2 linked regions of the Mytilus edulis genome follow. The protein of the gene in region 1 binds, or shares a complex with, the protein of each later gene. Links are inferred from orthologs where the notes say so. Each region holds a gene or a part of one and is shown in the gene's direction. Other genes may lie near its edges.

Evidence for each region. The genes of interacting proteins can lie anywhere in the genome.
Region 2: the proteins of ubiquitin-conjugating enzyme E2 G2 (region 1) and lipid droplet-regulating VLDL assembly factor AUP1-like are in contact, whole or in part, in a crystal structure (PDB 7LEW), measured with the Homo sapiens proteins. The link is inferred for Mytilus edulis from reciprocal best matches to the Homo sapiens genes UBE2G2 and AUP1. Residues at the interface, in NP_003334.2 of Homo sapiens: Tyr13, Thr17, Pro20, Gly23, Ile24, Val25, Ala26, Gly27, Pro28, Met29, Asn30, Glu31, Glu38, Leu40, Met42, Glu45, Glu50, Phe51, Val53, Pro55, Lys156, Val159, Gln160, Ser162, Leu163, Leu165; in NP_853553.1 of Homo sapiens: Ser379, Arg382, Gln383, Leu386, Arg389, Lys390, Leu393, Tyr394, Tyr396, Ala397, Arg398, Arg400, Phe401, Thr402.

The regions. Positions count from the first base shown.
Region 1 is NC_092357.1:21,470,394-21,477,266, reverse strand, and holds the start of ubiquitin-conjugating enzyme E2 G2, read left to right. Parts: upstream 1-2,791; 5' UTR 2,792-2,898; coding exon 2,899-2,941; intron 2,942-6,339; coding exon 6,340-6,421; intron 6,422-6,873. Other genes in the region: DNA topoisomerase 2-alpha-like, read right to left, coding at 2,449-2,475. UniProt on the Homo sapiens protein: Accepts ubiquitin from the E1 complex and catalyzes its covalent attachment to other proteins. In vitro catalyzes 'Lys-48'-linked polyubiquitination. Involved in endoplasmic reticulum-associated degradation (ERAD).
Region 2 is NC_092347.1:74,199,454-74,206,326, forward strand, and holds the start of lipid droplet-regulating VLDL assembly factor AUP1-like, read left to right. Parts: upstream 1-3,342; 5' UTR 3,343-3,446; coding exon 3,447-3,472; intron 3,473-6,247; coding exon 6,248-6,382; intron 6,383-6,873. UniProt on the Homo sapiens protein: Plays a role in the translocation of terminally misfolded proteins from the endoplasmic reticulum lumen to the cytoplasm and their degradation by the proteasome. Plays a role in lipid droplet formation. Induces lipid droplet clustering.

The DNA.
Region 1 (6,873 bases):
TTTCTCCATAATGACGTCTTTTGACACCATCCCCCTTACTCCATGACGCCTTTGGACGCCTGTGTAGTACCTCAGTTGAAACACTGTGACTACAAAGTGTCTGCAGTTGACTTAATAAAATTTGTATCTGATATGAAAAGGGATATCATAGGAATATCCAACTTAAATTTATTTGATGAAATAGTTGTTTTTCACAATGCCTTAATACTTTAAATCATATGTTCAGCATTTAATTAAAAAAATCCTATGCGAATCAAGTATGCAAAAAAAAAATTTCAATGGAGGAAAGGGTTCAATAATTACTCCTGTTGTTTTGTCTGAACTAATTACAAAATCTGACAGCTGGCAAGTTAGTCACTAGTCTGATGCCCCAGACTAGAAAATATTGATTCGGACAAGTGAAATTTCAAAATTTTAAATAGTCATATAGGGAAAAATTTTGATATTTAGTTTCCGGACTAGTAGATGAAATCGTTTTCTGTGCAAACTGGTCCTAAGAGAGAAGCATCAAAATGGTAAATTTTGCAAACATACATGTAGCAACATTTTTTAGCAAACTATAAAATAAATTACAAGATTACCTTGCTCTTCTTTGTCATAAAGACTGTAATATTAATTTCTATATAACAATTAAATTTCTGAACCTGCCATGGCTAAAAATTAAGTCCTTTCTAATTACTTAAATGAGAACCCTGGGTAACTCTTAACCTGTTCATGAAAGAGGGGGGCAGGACCTTTTTCTGGAGGTCTGGATCTGGTGCTTTTAAGGTTGGGATATCAGGATTTAAATTTCTTTAAATTCCAGACCTCAGGATTAAATGTTTTTAAGCCTGAGATTTCGGGATCAGGAACCCTCTGACCCAACTCATCAAACCTAAACAATTTTTTGCAAAATTGGCTAGTACCCTCTTTTTGTTGGATATGCTAAACTTGATGGTTTTTTTCATGAATGAGTTACACTGGTAGACACAGTTCAATCTGTAATGATTATTGATCGTTATGGTTATAAACCAGGAGAATCTTGTTGTATATATGCATATTTTATGCCTAAAGAAGCGTTGTGTGGATTTAGACTTTTGGCAAGGAAATTAGTGGCAGGGTCGAAAGTTATAGGGGTGATCGTAAGGAACTCTCTATGCTCTGTAAGGCTAACATTTAGAGAACACCCCTATTAAGTAAATAGTATAGTCGCCCTGTGGAATATATTAAGAGAACGAGAAACGGCATTCAAGGCTGTCGGTTGGCTGTCGATGAGACATCATCAGAGCGTACGTTAGTAATATTAAGACGCTAGGAGAGCTTTAATATTCAGGAGACACTTTGTACTGGGTACAAGTGAACGTACAGGTTGATCGGATTGACAAGGCAGACTTTCCCACTCAGAGGACAAGCTGTAGTAGCCGGCACTGTCTGGTAGTGACAGACTGTCCCACTCGGAGGACAAGTTGTTCCAGCCCACTCTGTCTTGTATTGACAGACTGTCCCATTCGGAGGTCAAGCTGTTCCAGCCACATTGTCTTATAGTGACATAACGTCCAATTAGGAGGTCAGGCTGTTATATTGTATAAACTTGTATATATAGAGTTCATACTTATTTTGTATCTGCAAAAAGCCAGTGTATATATTTTGGTTCATTGTGCATAACGTAGATAGTTGTAGTTTTTAGTATTGCTGTATTGTTTGTGGACAACTTGGATCCAAGTATTAACTGGAACAGACGTTTGAGATATAAACGCCTGGTTACACATTACAAATCCGACAATCGTGTAAACAATGACTGTCAAAATTGTAGAACAAGCTTTCTTTACAGTCGTCTATTTAAAAAGTCTTTTGTACTATTGTTTACCCTTTTGATGTTGAGAAAAAAGTCCCCTTATGTCTGATGTAAATTATACAGAGATTCTTTTGAAATGATTAACAATCTAGTTTAAAATCAAAATTGAAGGGAAACCTTAATTTCCAACTGTAAAGAATCAGCCTGTCCTCTGGAAATCATCAACTACCATATTGCAACCTGGTGAAAGTTGTTATGTGACTTCATATAATATTCCTCATTTTATGATTTACATTTTTGTAAACACATCATAAAACCCTCCCCCTTTTTTAGTAGAAGTATTTCAAAGTCCTTTAACTTGCATGCATGAAAGATGACTACAAAATGTAACTGAAAACAGAAACAGTATGACATGACTATTATAAATTTACCCTCAAAGGACTTGTAGCCATTGCAAGGCTTAGAGGTATCTAAAAGCTCACTCCGGTGAATGTGATGTTACTTTTCCGTTTAAATCTAGTGCGCTAAAAACAACCAATCAAATCACATGGATCAATCACATGACCGGTCTAGAAGTTCATGACCTCTAGATAAAGAAATAAACACAGACCCTTCACTTGTCATTTTTACCTGGAGAGAAATCGTCAATAAATAATCGGAACATAAATACTTACAACCCATTCAAGGCTTGCCTGTGCCATTGTTGCCTTGCTTCAAGCACATAAGATGAAAAAATCTAATTAACATAAACGATCCGCAAAATCCAAGAGCTTTTCGGTCGCCCCTATTTTTTATTTGTCATAAGACACCAATCTGCAATCCGTCCTATTTGATAAATTTGAAAATATTTCCAAAATTAAAAACCAGATGTCATGTTTTCTAGAATATATTAATTCTTGTCGGAATCGTTTAATATTTCAACGGGTTTCTGTTAAATGTCCATTGTTTGCTAAAAACGGAACAGTCCATTTGATTGGTCGCCATTCAATGTAATTTAAACTTTAACCAATGAATACTTATTTTATTTCGTCGTTCAGTCGAACACTGTTTTTATCTTCCACGTAAAAGAATCACAACACGATTTTATGAGTTGAAAAAAAGTCTGATAAAACTGATAATGCAAAATGGCAGGATCAGCCTTAAGAAGGTTGATGGCAGAATACAAGCGTTAGTTTCAGATATGTTTATGAATATCTCATTGGGTCTTCAATCAACAGAGCTTGTTGTTCGGGTGTCGGTTTCAGGGGCGGATGCAGGAATTTTCGAAAGGGGGGGGTGCTAACCCAGGGCACCCAGGGCAAAGGGGGGGGGGGGGTGCAAAACATATGTCCCGATACAAATGCATTGATCGGCAAAAATAAAGGGGGGGTGCGCACCCCCGGAACCCCCCCTGGATCCACCACTGGGTTTGGCATAAAAGTTTTCGAGATATTTCGGCCACACAACCAGTTCGGCTATAGTTGTTTCGGCCGAAGTCGATTTGGCCACACCCTTTTCTTATTGTTCTAAGGGTTCATAACATCAAATTGACTAATTTGACCTATCTAGTTTTAACATAAACTGGACCCCTGTTGTGTTCACTTATCGCTACACTGACAACACCCTTTTCTTATCGTTCTAACATCAAATTGACTAATTTGACCTATCTAGTATTAACATAGCATGCACCTTATCGCTAATCCCGGTTGACCCGGCCGCTTGAACTTTTGACGCATTCAACAATCACTTTTGTCAGATGTTTTGTTTTGTGACGTCAAAATTTTACGGGAACCTGTTTGATATCCAGTAATAGCCGACATATAGCGATATGGTGTATTGACAAAAAAAAACTCTTTAAAGAAATCTGAGTTCATGTTCTAGTGGTTAAGTCAAGACCAATGTTTGAGGGGGGATAGGACCTTTATCGGGACTCCTGGATTGGGTGTTTTTAAGCTTGGGATTTCGGGATTGACCTTTTTCAGGATCCGGGAATCCTTTTTTTTGGGATTTCGGGATGTCGGGATTTGCTTTATTTAAATTCGGGACCTCGGGATTTCGTTTTTTCAAGTCCGGGATTTCGTGATCAAGACCCCTCCTATCCCCCCTCATGTTTTCAGTGCTGAAGGTCCCAATTTTGATTCTCACGAAAAATATCAGTACATCAGAATTGTAATTTTCATACTCTCGCACACATCTCTGGTACCCAGACCAGAGTTTAAACTAGAACGGGTACTTTTGGGACCTTAGTTGGTCAAAGTTGCCCCCTACTTTGACATGGAGATCAATCTTCTGATATCTCTGGTTTGTCTGTTTCCGCCGAATGCCACAGTGGTCTTCTCCGAGTACTTCTGCTTCCACCACCCTAGTAATAGACTTCCCAGTGTCCTAGCACTCCCTTTGTTTTTGGTTGGGATTGACTGTCCTTGTAAAAATAATTGTCGTATATATATACATGTATATGTACGTTAGTGACACATCTCCATTAATCCTGATAGGGCGTGCACATGGACGCCACTGTACCCTCGCATCTTTTAAGGTTTTTTTTTTAATAACTGAGGCATTTACCAGTACATACATACATTCACATATATTATAATTTATTTAAGAATTGAATGCTTCTTTTTGTAACTTCATTGGGGTGTAAAAGCGTTGACCGAAGTACATTTTGTATGAAGAGTGAAAGTGTAACGGTTTATTTCTTCCTCTGTGATATTTTGTCCTGAGGATAATTTGTCCCGGTAATTTTTTTCCAGGCATGGTGTTTCACAGGTTGATTTTTTCCAGAGGAGTGAAAATCTATCTGTGTTATGCGTATAGTATGTAATGGTTATATTTGCCGTACTATATTTCACAGAACCGTGTGAAATAGAGTCCCATTAACTACTATGTAAGTTACTCACAATCGATTTATACCTGACTATAATTATAAAATGTTTCACAAAGGTAGACCAAATTTGCATAATTTATCAAAGGGAGGTAATTATGAGCAATTTAAATTTTAAATATATTTCTGAATCTATTTTATAGTGAAATTTTTCCTTGAATCTTTTTTTTTATACATACATTTATATAAAAAGATGACTTACAACTTGATTTAATAAGACAGATAACATTTCACAGGTAAAAACTATCCAGCTGTTAAACATGCTTTTGTTCCAATATATTGTTATGCTATGATTTATCTGATTTCCATATAATCAACAACTACATCTCTGTCCCCAGACAAAACTATTTATATAGTTAAAACTATCATCATAATCAAATTCTTCTATTACTGTTAACAGTAGTAATGCAACTATATTTCTACCTTAGTTTTAATTTTATATTTGCACTGAGATCTGAAAACAACTCACTTTTACATGTATTTCACTAACCTTGTTTAATCATGATATTATTTTCACAATTACGATCTTTGAAATTACTTCTGGTTTTCTTCCCTTTGTTTCATGATAATTTTCTTTTTAAAAGGATGATATTGACTTGAATATTTCAGGAAATTTTTCAAGGATAATTTGTGAAATTATTTCCCATTATAATACATTATTTTTTTTAACAATTTCGCTTTATTTCAAATACACTAATATTATTTCATAGTATTTTTAAAGGATAAGTTTTTTCTAATAACTATTCAATAAGTTAACTACCTAGATAGAATTTCACGGCAAAGGAAAAAATATCCCAGGGAAGTATTTTCCTCCGGACAAAAAAATAACAACTGCTGTGACATTTTTTCCTTTCGGATCAAATTTCACCTGGATATAATTTTGCTTTACACAAGCACTTCATTCTAAAAATGTGCGCACGGTCAATGCTTTTACAACCCTATGAAGTTACAAAAAGAAGCATTCAATACTTATTATTACATTTTTTAGCTAGGATCATGAAAACATGAATTTTATCATTTTTTTTTTATTTAATTCACCTGGGCACTTTATTGTGGGACCTCATGTTATCATAAATGAAAAGTTTTATTGAGTAATGCAATTGCTTAAGGAATAACATGTGATGTGCATTTAGCCAATCAGAATAACGCATTATAGTGAAACATACATTTAATGTAATTATATTGTCATATTAACCTACACTGTGCTACAGGTGCCATTCTGGCTTCTGCCAACTTTCATTGGCAAAAATTGTGAAGTTCAAAGAGAAAAAAAAAATAGTTTAAAGGACTTTCTGCTAGATAAGTTTTTTATTATTATAAAGTTAAATCATCATTACTTCTCACTGGACAAGACTCCTCTCAGGTTTATTTATATACATGTGGATGAAAAATAAAAGTCACAAACACATTAACTACATGTACAAAAACAAAATGATGTAGGCAGCAATTGATACAATAGCTTTTACGACTTTGATCTTGAATCAGTTGTATGAAAATCTACAAATTAATTTTAGTAGGCCTAATAAAATGTTGGAATGTAGTTCATTTTATTCTTTCAAATCATCAGACCATTTTAGTTGATGAATCTTATGAAAATTGTTTGGAAATATCATGAAATAACCAATCTATGATTTAAGGTAGTCTCACGACTGACTCATGATCAGTTGAATCAAATGTATTGATGAGAGACATTTATTTTCAGAATTGACACTAAATCCACCTGAAGGAATTATAGCAGGACCTGTCAATGAGGAGAATTTCTTTGAATGGGAAGCTCTTATTATGTATGTATTTCCATGTTCACTTTACAAATGTTCCAGAAGATCTAAAGTATACAACAATGAGACAGCAACTCTAACAATGGACATTCAAACCTCATAAAGAATTTATATGTTGAAAACAAAACAAAAAACTCTTACAGAAAGTAGGTTTTGATTGATTGTCGGTTAGTCGTATTAGTTGACATGGTTGAAGTAGTTGCAAACCTTGTTTCAATGATTATTCTGTTTTCCAAAATTGAATTTCAATAAATGATGTTTTATTGTGTGGGTGATCAAACTTTTAAATAATCCATGAATGATCAGTCATTTGACAGCCAGTTAAGTAGCTTTAAGGCCATTTAAAGTCAGATGTTAGTCTTTTAAGTAAAAAAGGAAATTTTCGTCCCAAACTTTAGACAACAACTGTTGAGAAGGATCTATTGTCATGCAGATTAATCATTGTGTAAATTATAATT
Region 2 (6,873 bases), on another chromosome or scaffold:
AGGGTTCATATGAAGCCATTCTGGAATTGTATTGCTTTGCTAGTAAAAAAATATTCTATTACCGAAAAACCAAAAATCACAGGAAACCTTTTGTCCTAAATGTCTTGCCTACCCTCTTGCTGATGAGAGTTTTCCCCTTTAGGTTGTGACTAACGGTGAATAATTATTTGACGTGCTCAAATACATTTCAGATGTGACCATGCAGTTCATAGTTAGCAATTATTGGGTTTCTCTTGTTGGTAATCTGGATCACAATACACTTTTCAGTATGGAAATTCATCTGCCATAGGGACTCCCACTTTTGGATTGTGCTTAGGCCTTGTAGTGTCATTGTTGTTCTTGATCTTTCTATAAACTAAGCATAAATTGGTCATCTGCAAATAACCTTACCACAGAAGTTGTAGTTTCTGGCTGTTCATTTGTGTAAGTCAGGAGTAAGAGTGGTCCAATGACTGTTTCCTGTGGCACACCTGAGATGATGTCAGGGGAGGGATTTAAGCCCTTCAAGAAATACAGATTGGGTTTTGCTAAAGGAAGTCTTGAAACCACTGCAATGAGAGTAATCCTTGTACCCTGTAATTGTCAATGTTATCGATGAGTCTTTTCTGGGGCACTTTGTCAGATGCTTCGAAGGAATCTAGCAGGCTGATGTCTGTCTCAGGTTCTGTTCTCCTCTGGATAAGTTCTTGCCAATTTCATCAAGGGTTATCAGGTGGGTTTCGCAAGATGGTTTTGCTCTGAACCCATGTTGATGGTCAAAGTGACCCATGATGGTGATGTGAACATTATGTTCCAACAGTTTACAGCAGATGTATGTCAGCTTTGTATTTTTAACCTTGTAAAGAAAACTGTAAGAAGCTCAGGATCCATAATTTCTGGTAAAGTCACATGATAGTCAGGTGTTCGGTTGTCAAAAGATTTCTGGTAAAGTATAGTAAGGTACGGTCCTGATACATATTTTAATGGAATCAATACGGCAATAAGTTGAATCTAATCATGTGACTTCCATCACTATGTGAACAAAATGTAGGCATCATCACTTCCAATGTAACATAAAATATTGTCCTCCATGAAATATTGTCTGTCAGACAAAATTTCAAATAAAATATTGTCCACTGACATTATTTCATAACGAAATATTGATCAATATTGTCCTGGACAATATTTCATTAAGCAATAGTGTTTTTGTCCATGAAATTTTGTCACCTCCTTCTGGACAATATCTCACTATGAAATTCTGTTCATGACAATACTTCACTATGAAATACTGGCTTTGAAAATATTTTTTAATCAAATTATTACACAACTAGCAATAGTACAAATCATGCAGCATGCACATTTTTTAAATTTATAACTGAAATGGTTTTGTTTAGCAAGGAATCTATAGTACTCATTATAGTGAGTTTCAAATTTGCATAGATACATTACAAATGGTTAATTATAAATTAAAGAATTGTCTTACGTATATTTTTCATTGTATTACATTATAACGGTACAAATATAAGTAATGCACTGACAATCACTTATTTTGTAAATATATACACAGGCATGTGTCGCAGGAAAGAAAATCCTATATATACCTTCTCTTTAATACATGAATATATGTTGATAACCTTCCCTTCATGAGACAAAATTCCATGACAATCAGTCTATGAATTTATATTGTCTCAATACTCGCACAATATAACCAAAATACATGTATAACCTCCCTTTAACAGGACAAAATTTCATAGTAATCACCTGTGAAATATTTTCTCAATTTACACAAAATATAACCTTCCTTTAACAACACAAAATTCCATAGTATTCATCTGTGAATTATTGCCTATATACAGACAAAATTTTACTATGAAAATTTGTCCTTTTCTGGACATATTTCCATAGACAAGGACAATATTTCATAGGACAATATTTTGCTTGACACCAACACATGCTGAGCAAACGGTTGAAAAAGTTTGAGTTTATATGGCACAAAATATTTGGGAAATCAAAATCTAATAAGATTATCACCCTCCCTTAGTTGTAAAGTAATCAAAGATTACGTACTTACAGAACATAAATTATTTCTATTCTATCCTACAGAATGACGATAATGAAAGTGCTGGAAACTTTTAATAGAGCAAGGATACAGGTGCACCTTCTAACTGGTAAATGACGTCAGAAAGGCATGCAAAATTGACGATCTTTCTAAGTTAAAGACATGATTTCAGAAATAGTGTATCCCGTCACAAGTTGAATACATATGTTGTAACATGGTAAGATTTTGACGCAATTTACAACAATCCCTTTTCCATTGTGGCGTCAGATAAGTATTTTATGACCTCAAAATTTTAAAGGAACCTGTGTGATATCCAGTAATGACAGACAAATAGCGATAAGGGGTATTCAAAATCAAATATATAGTTATCATACACCTTATCGCTATTTGTCCGCCATTACTGGATATCACACAGTCCCATAAATTTTGACGTAACAATACAAAATATCTGACGCCACAATGGAATAGTGATTGTTGTATGCGTCAAAAGTTCAAGCGGCCGGGTCTGCCGGGATACACCTTATCACTATTTGTCCGCTATTGCTGGATATCACACAGGTTCCCGTAAAATGTTGACGTCATAAAACAAAATATCTGATGCCACAATGGAAAAGTGATTGTTGTTGACGTCAAAAGTTCAAGCGGCCGGGTCAGCCGGGATTAGCGATAAGGTGTATTAGGGAGCTACCATTTGATTTTTATGGGGGGGCTAGGATGAAAAATTTTGTCCTGCCTTTTTTTTTAGCTGTAATCTCTGTCCTGCCTTTTTATTTTTCACTCTGTTCGGTCCTGCCTTTTTTTTTTAGTTTATCCTGACTTTTTTTTACCTAAATTGTCGTCCTGACTTTTTTTTTTTGCAAGTGTCTCATCCTGCCTTTTTTTTTTTACTCAAAACTCCTGTCCTGCCTATTTTTTTCAAATTTCATCCTAGCCCCCCCATAAAAATCAAATGGTAGCTCCCTTAGCGATAAGGTGTATAATTTTTATAGAGCATAATTGCGCTGCCTTGTAACACAAAGGTCCTGGGGTTCGAGTCCTGGTGGAGACAAAGATGATTTTTATGTTGAATCATGCGCTCAGAGTTTTGTTTAATATCAATGTTTATGTTATTATTGTGTGTATTTTTTTTTTAGATAAACCATGTGCTCCCCCTTTTTTAGTGTTTTGCTCTCTCTCTCTCTCTTTGTTTATTGTTATCAGACTTCGTTTAGTCAAAGAAAGATCCATGTAGTAGAAATAACTAACTCGAACAAGCACGGTTATTCTGCCTTGTTCTTCTTTATAAATCTTTGTTTACAGCTGTTTGCTGTCTGCTACAAGCAACCTGTCCAAAATCTCCCAGAAGTCATCTGTGAAAATGGTTGATGATTAGTACTTCCGGTTGAAAATGCACGATTTTTAGAATAACATGGACAGATTATTCGATATTAGCAGGTTTAAATATTTTATTTTTGAGTTCTCAAGATAGTAATAGTTATATGCATTGTATGTAGTTCACAAATTTAATGTATGGTGATTTGTATTCTTTATTTCGACATGATAATGTATGGCTCAGTAGAATTTTCTATAGACGTACCACAGAGTCAGTTCTATATTTTTTATAGACTACTGTAAATGACTTATGTATTGTAGGTTTCAATCTAAATCACTTTATGTATGGCTATACACATAATATACATATAACACATCTTTATGGTTCATCACCTTGGAATATCGTAGGGATAGGAATGATATGAGAGGGTGATAAAGGGTTATTTTCGTGCAACGTTTTCGGCCTTTTCATTTTACGTGTTTTCGTGATTTTGTGTTTTATTTCTCGTTTTCTCGTGTTTGGTTCGATGTGTGTGCTTGTATTTCCCCTTATTTATTTTCCGTGTTTCGTGTCGGTGCTCTTAATTTCTTGTTCTTACATTGTTCAGCATTTGATTAAAAAGTGAATTGGAAGTAACTCAAAGTCAGTGAGTTATAGTACCTTTTGAAACTTGTGTAATATAATAGAAATTGATGTATATTTTTACCATTCTACTTTCTATTGTATATGTATGCTATACATTTTGTACATGTAATAAAGTCCATCATAATAATATTTTTTCAAATCAGATGCAAGTAGCATATGCTTTAAGGTGACCACAAGGTCTTGATGTCATTTACAATGTCTACATGATCTCCAAGAACGGCTGTGTAATAACTTCTGGTACTTTTTTTCTTAATATTTACGATTTTATTTCTTTTGCTTCGTTTTTCCGGATTTTAATTTTTCGTGCTACGTTTTTGCGATTTTTATTTCACGTGTTTCCGTGTTCCGTACCCCCCTTTACCACCCTCATATGATACAAGTGGGTCTCATTGGCTGATTGGGGTCTAAGCGTGACGCAGGATTGCCGATTTTTTTGTAAGCGTTACACGTAAAAGTCAAATTATTGTGCCGTGAAAACGGGAAATAGGGTCTAGCAGGACATGGGAAATTACAAAAAATAAGAATTGCTTACGATCATAGTGTAAGCGGGATACAAGAATCTGACAAAACAGTAAGCAGAATCCAGCATCAGAACCCCCCAATGAGATCCCCATACAAGTCTACAAAGCGTTGCATGGTATAGATGACATCGACTGGATGAGCCTTTTTACTTTAGCACCATCTATTATACTAGGGGTCACTCATTAAAACTTTTTAAAAAACAGTGTAAGACTACACATAGACTAAATACTTTTTCAATTAGAGTAGTGGATCAGTGGAATAACCTGTCAGATTTAATGGTGTCGGCAAAGACTCTGAATAATTTTAAGTCTGCATTAAATGGCGAAAATTGAAACCCATATAAATTATATGTTCGTGTTAAGTGTTTCAGCTGCGCACACCTAAATAAGTATAAGATAAAGGTATAAAGGTATACAACCTTTATCTTAAACTGTCATATAAGTTTGGCTATTGCTGCAAGAACCCCTTTTCTTTAGTTTTAAGGGGGTCTCATTTGGGGAGGGGTCTGATACTAGATCCTTCTAATTGCTTTTAGTCCGATTCCTGTATCATATTCATCGTTGTAATGATAGGGCTTGTAATTTCATATGACCGACTTGATTTTATCTCCTGTTTTCACCACAAAAATTATCAGTTGACTTTCACTTTTCACGCTTACTTAAAAAATCAGCCAATCCTTTGTCACACTTACACCCCAATGAAACCTACTTTTAGGATACTTTCATGATAATCTTGCTCAAGTCAATAAGTCCCAAGTCGTTCCGCTACATGTAGATTAGTCCATATTTATAGTTGATCTGTCCTCAACTTAAAAAGATACATGTACATGAAGGGATAAAAATTATATTATATGAAAAAGAAGATATGGTATGATTGCCAATGAGACAACTCTCCACAAGAGACTAAATGACACAGAAACTAACAACTACATTGTATAGGATTGTATGGCCTTCAACAATGAGCAAAGCTGATACCGCATAGTCAGCTATAAAGAGCCTTGAAATGACAATGTAAAATGTTTCAAACGAGAGAACTAACGGCCTAATTTATATTTATACAGAAAATGAACAAAAAACAAATATGTTACACATAAACAAACGACAACCACTGAATTACAGGCTCCTGACTTGGGACAGGCACATGAATAATTATATGGCGGGGTTAAACATGTTAGCAGGATCCAAACCCTTCCCTAACTTGGGACAGCCACACAGTAATGTAACAGTACAAAATAAGAACCAACTTTAAAAATCAGTTGAAAAAGGCTTAATGAATGAGGTGGATACAAATACAAACACTACACAGAGTGGATGTGGCCGGGTACTTATATCCCAACAATAACCAAAAAGATATATATCTAAAGGGATTCTGAGATAAACATACAAATGTAAATAAAGTACTAGCTAGTCTTCCACCTGTCACAGGTGTCAGATACAATATGTCAAGCTCTTAATTCTCCTTAGCCTGTAAAGGTTGTAAATACATTCAAAAGAAACAATCAAAGATCTGAAAAAAGTACTTCCTCTTGCCATTTATATAAAGTCACCACTAAAACCTTTCTTTTTTTAGGGTCATTAACTAGTACATGGAGTTAGTAATTTTGTTGTTTTGAGGAATTTTTATGATGCATCATCAAATTTACATTTATAAGAAATGTTATAAATCTAAAAAAACAGTTTGCTCAGGTGCAATGTATATGAACTACAATATTCTACATTTTTATTTTTCAGATTTCCTGATCCTGGATCAGTTGTTTTGACGATTTTTTATTTCCCGTTTGGACTTGTTCTAGTTATTATTAGATTATTCATAGCACTTCATGGTTTGTTGGTGTCATGTATATTGCCAAAGTCAGCTGCTACCAGGTTTGTTTATGTACATTACACATACACATATCAGATTCCTAGCTACATGTAGCCCAATTATTGATATAATTCAATGGATTGAATGAACATGAACATTAAAAATTATTTTTTTTAATATTATCCTTCAGAAAAAAATATAAAGGGTAGGTCTATCACAGCTGTATGGTGCTGGGAAAAGGTAGAGGGGAACCCAGAAAGGGAACAAGCAAGCTGTATATAAAGCTGAGACAACTCAAATTACAAAAAAAAACAAAAAAAACCAATCAAACAATAATTATGAGACTCAACTAACATGACTAATAAAAATTTTCATCCAATACATCGACTTATATCAATATTGGACACTTTTGAAGAGAAAGCCATTACCAAGTATGGTTATATTGTAGAACTGCACTTTTATTAAAGTACAACACTTGCAGAATCAAAATCAAAGCCAATAGAAATATGATATTTAATAATTATATGTACAAATGAAGCTTGTCTTTCAAACA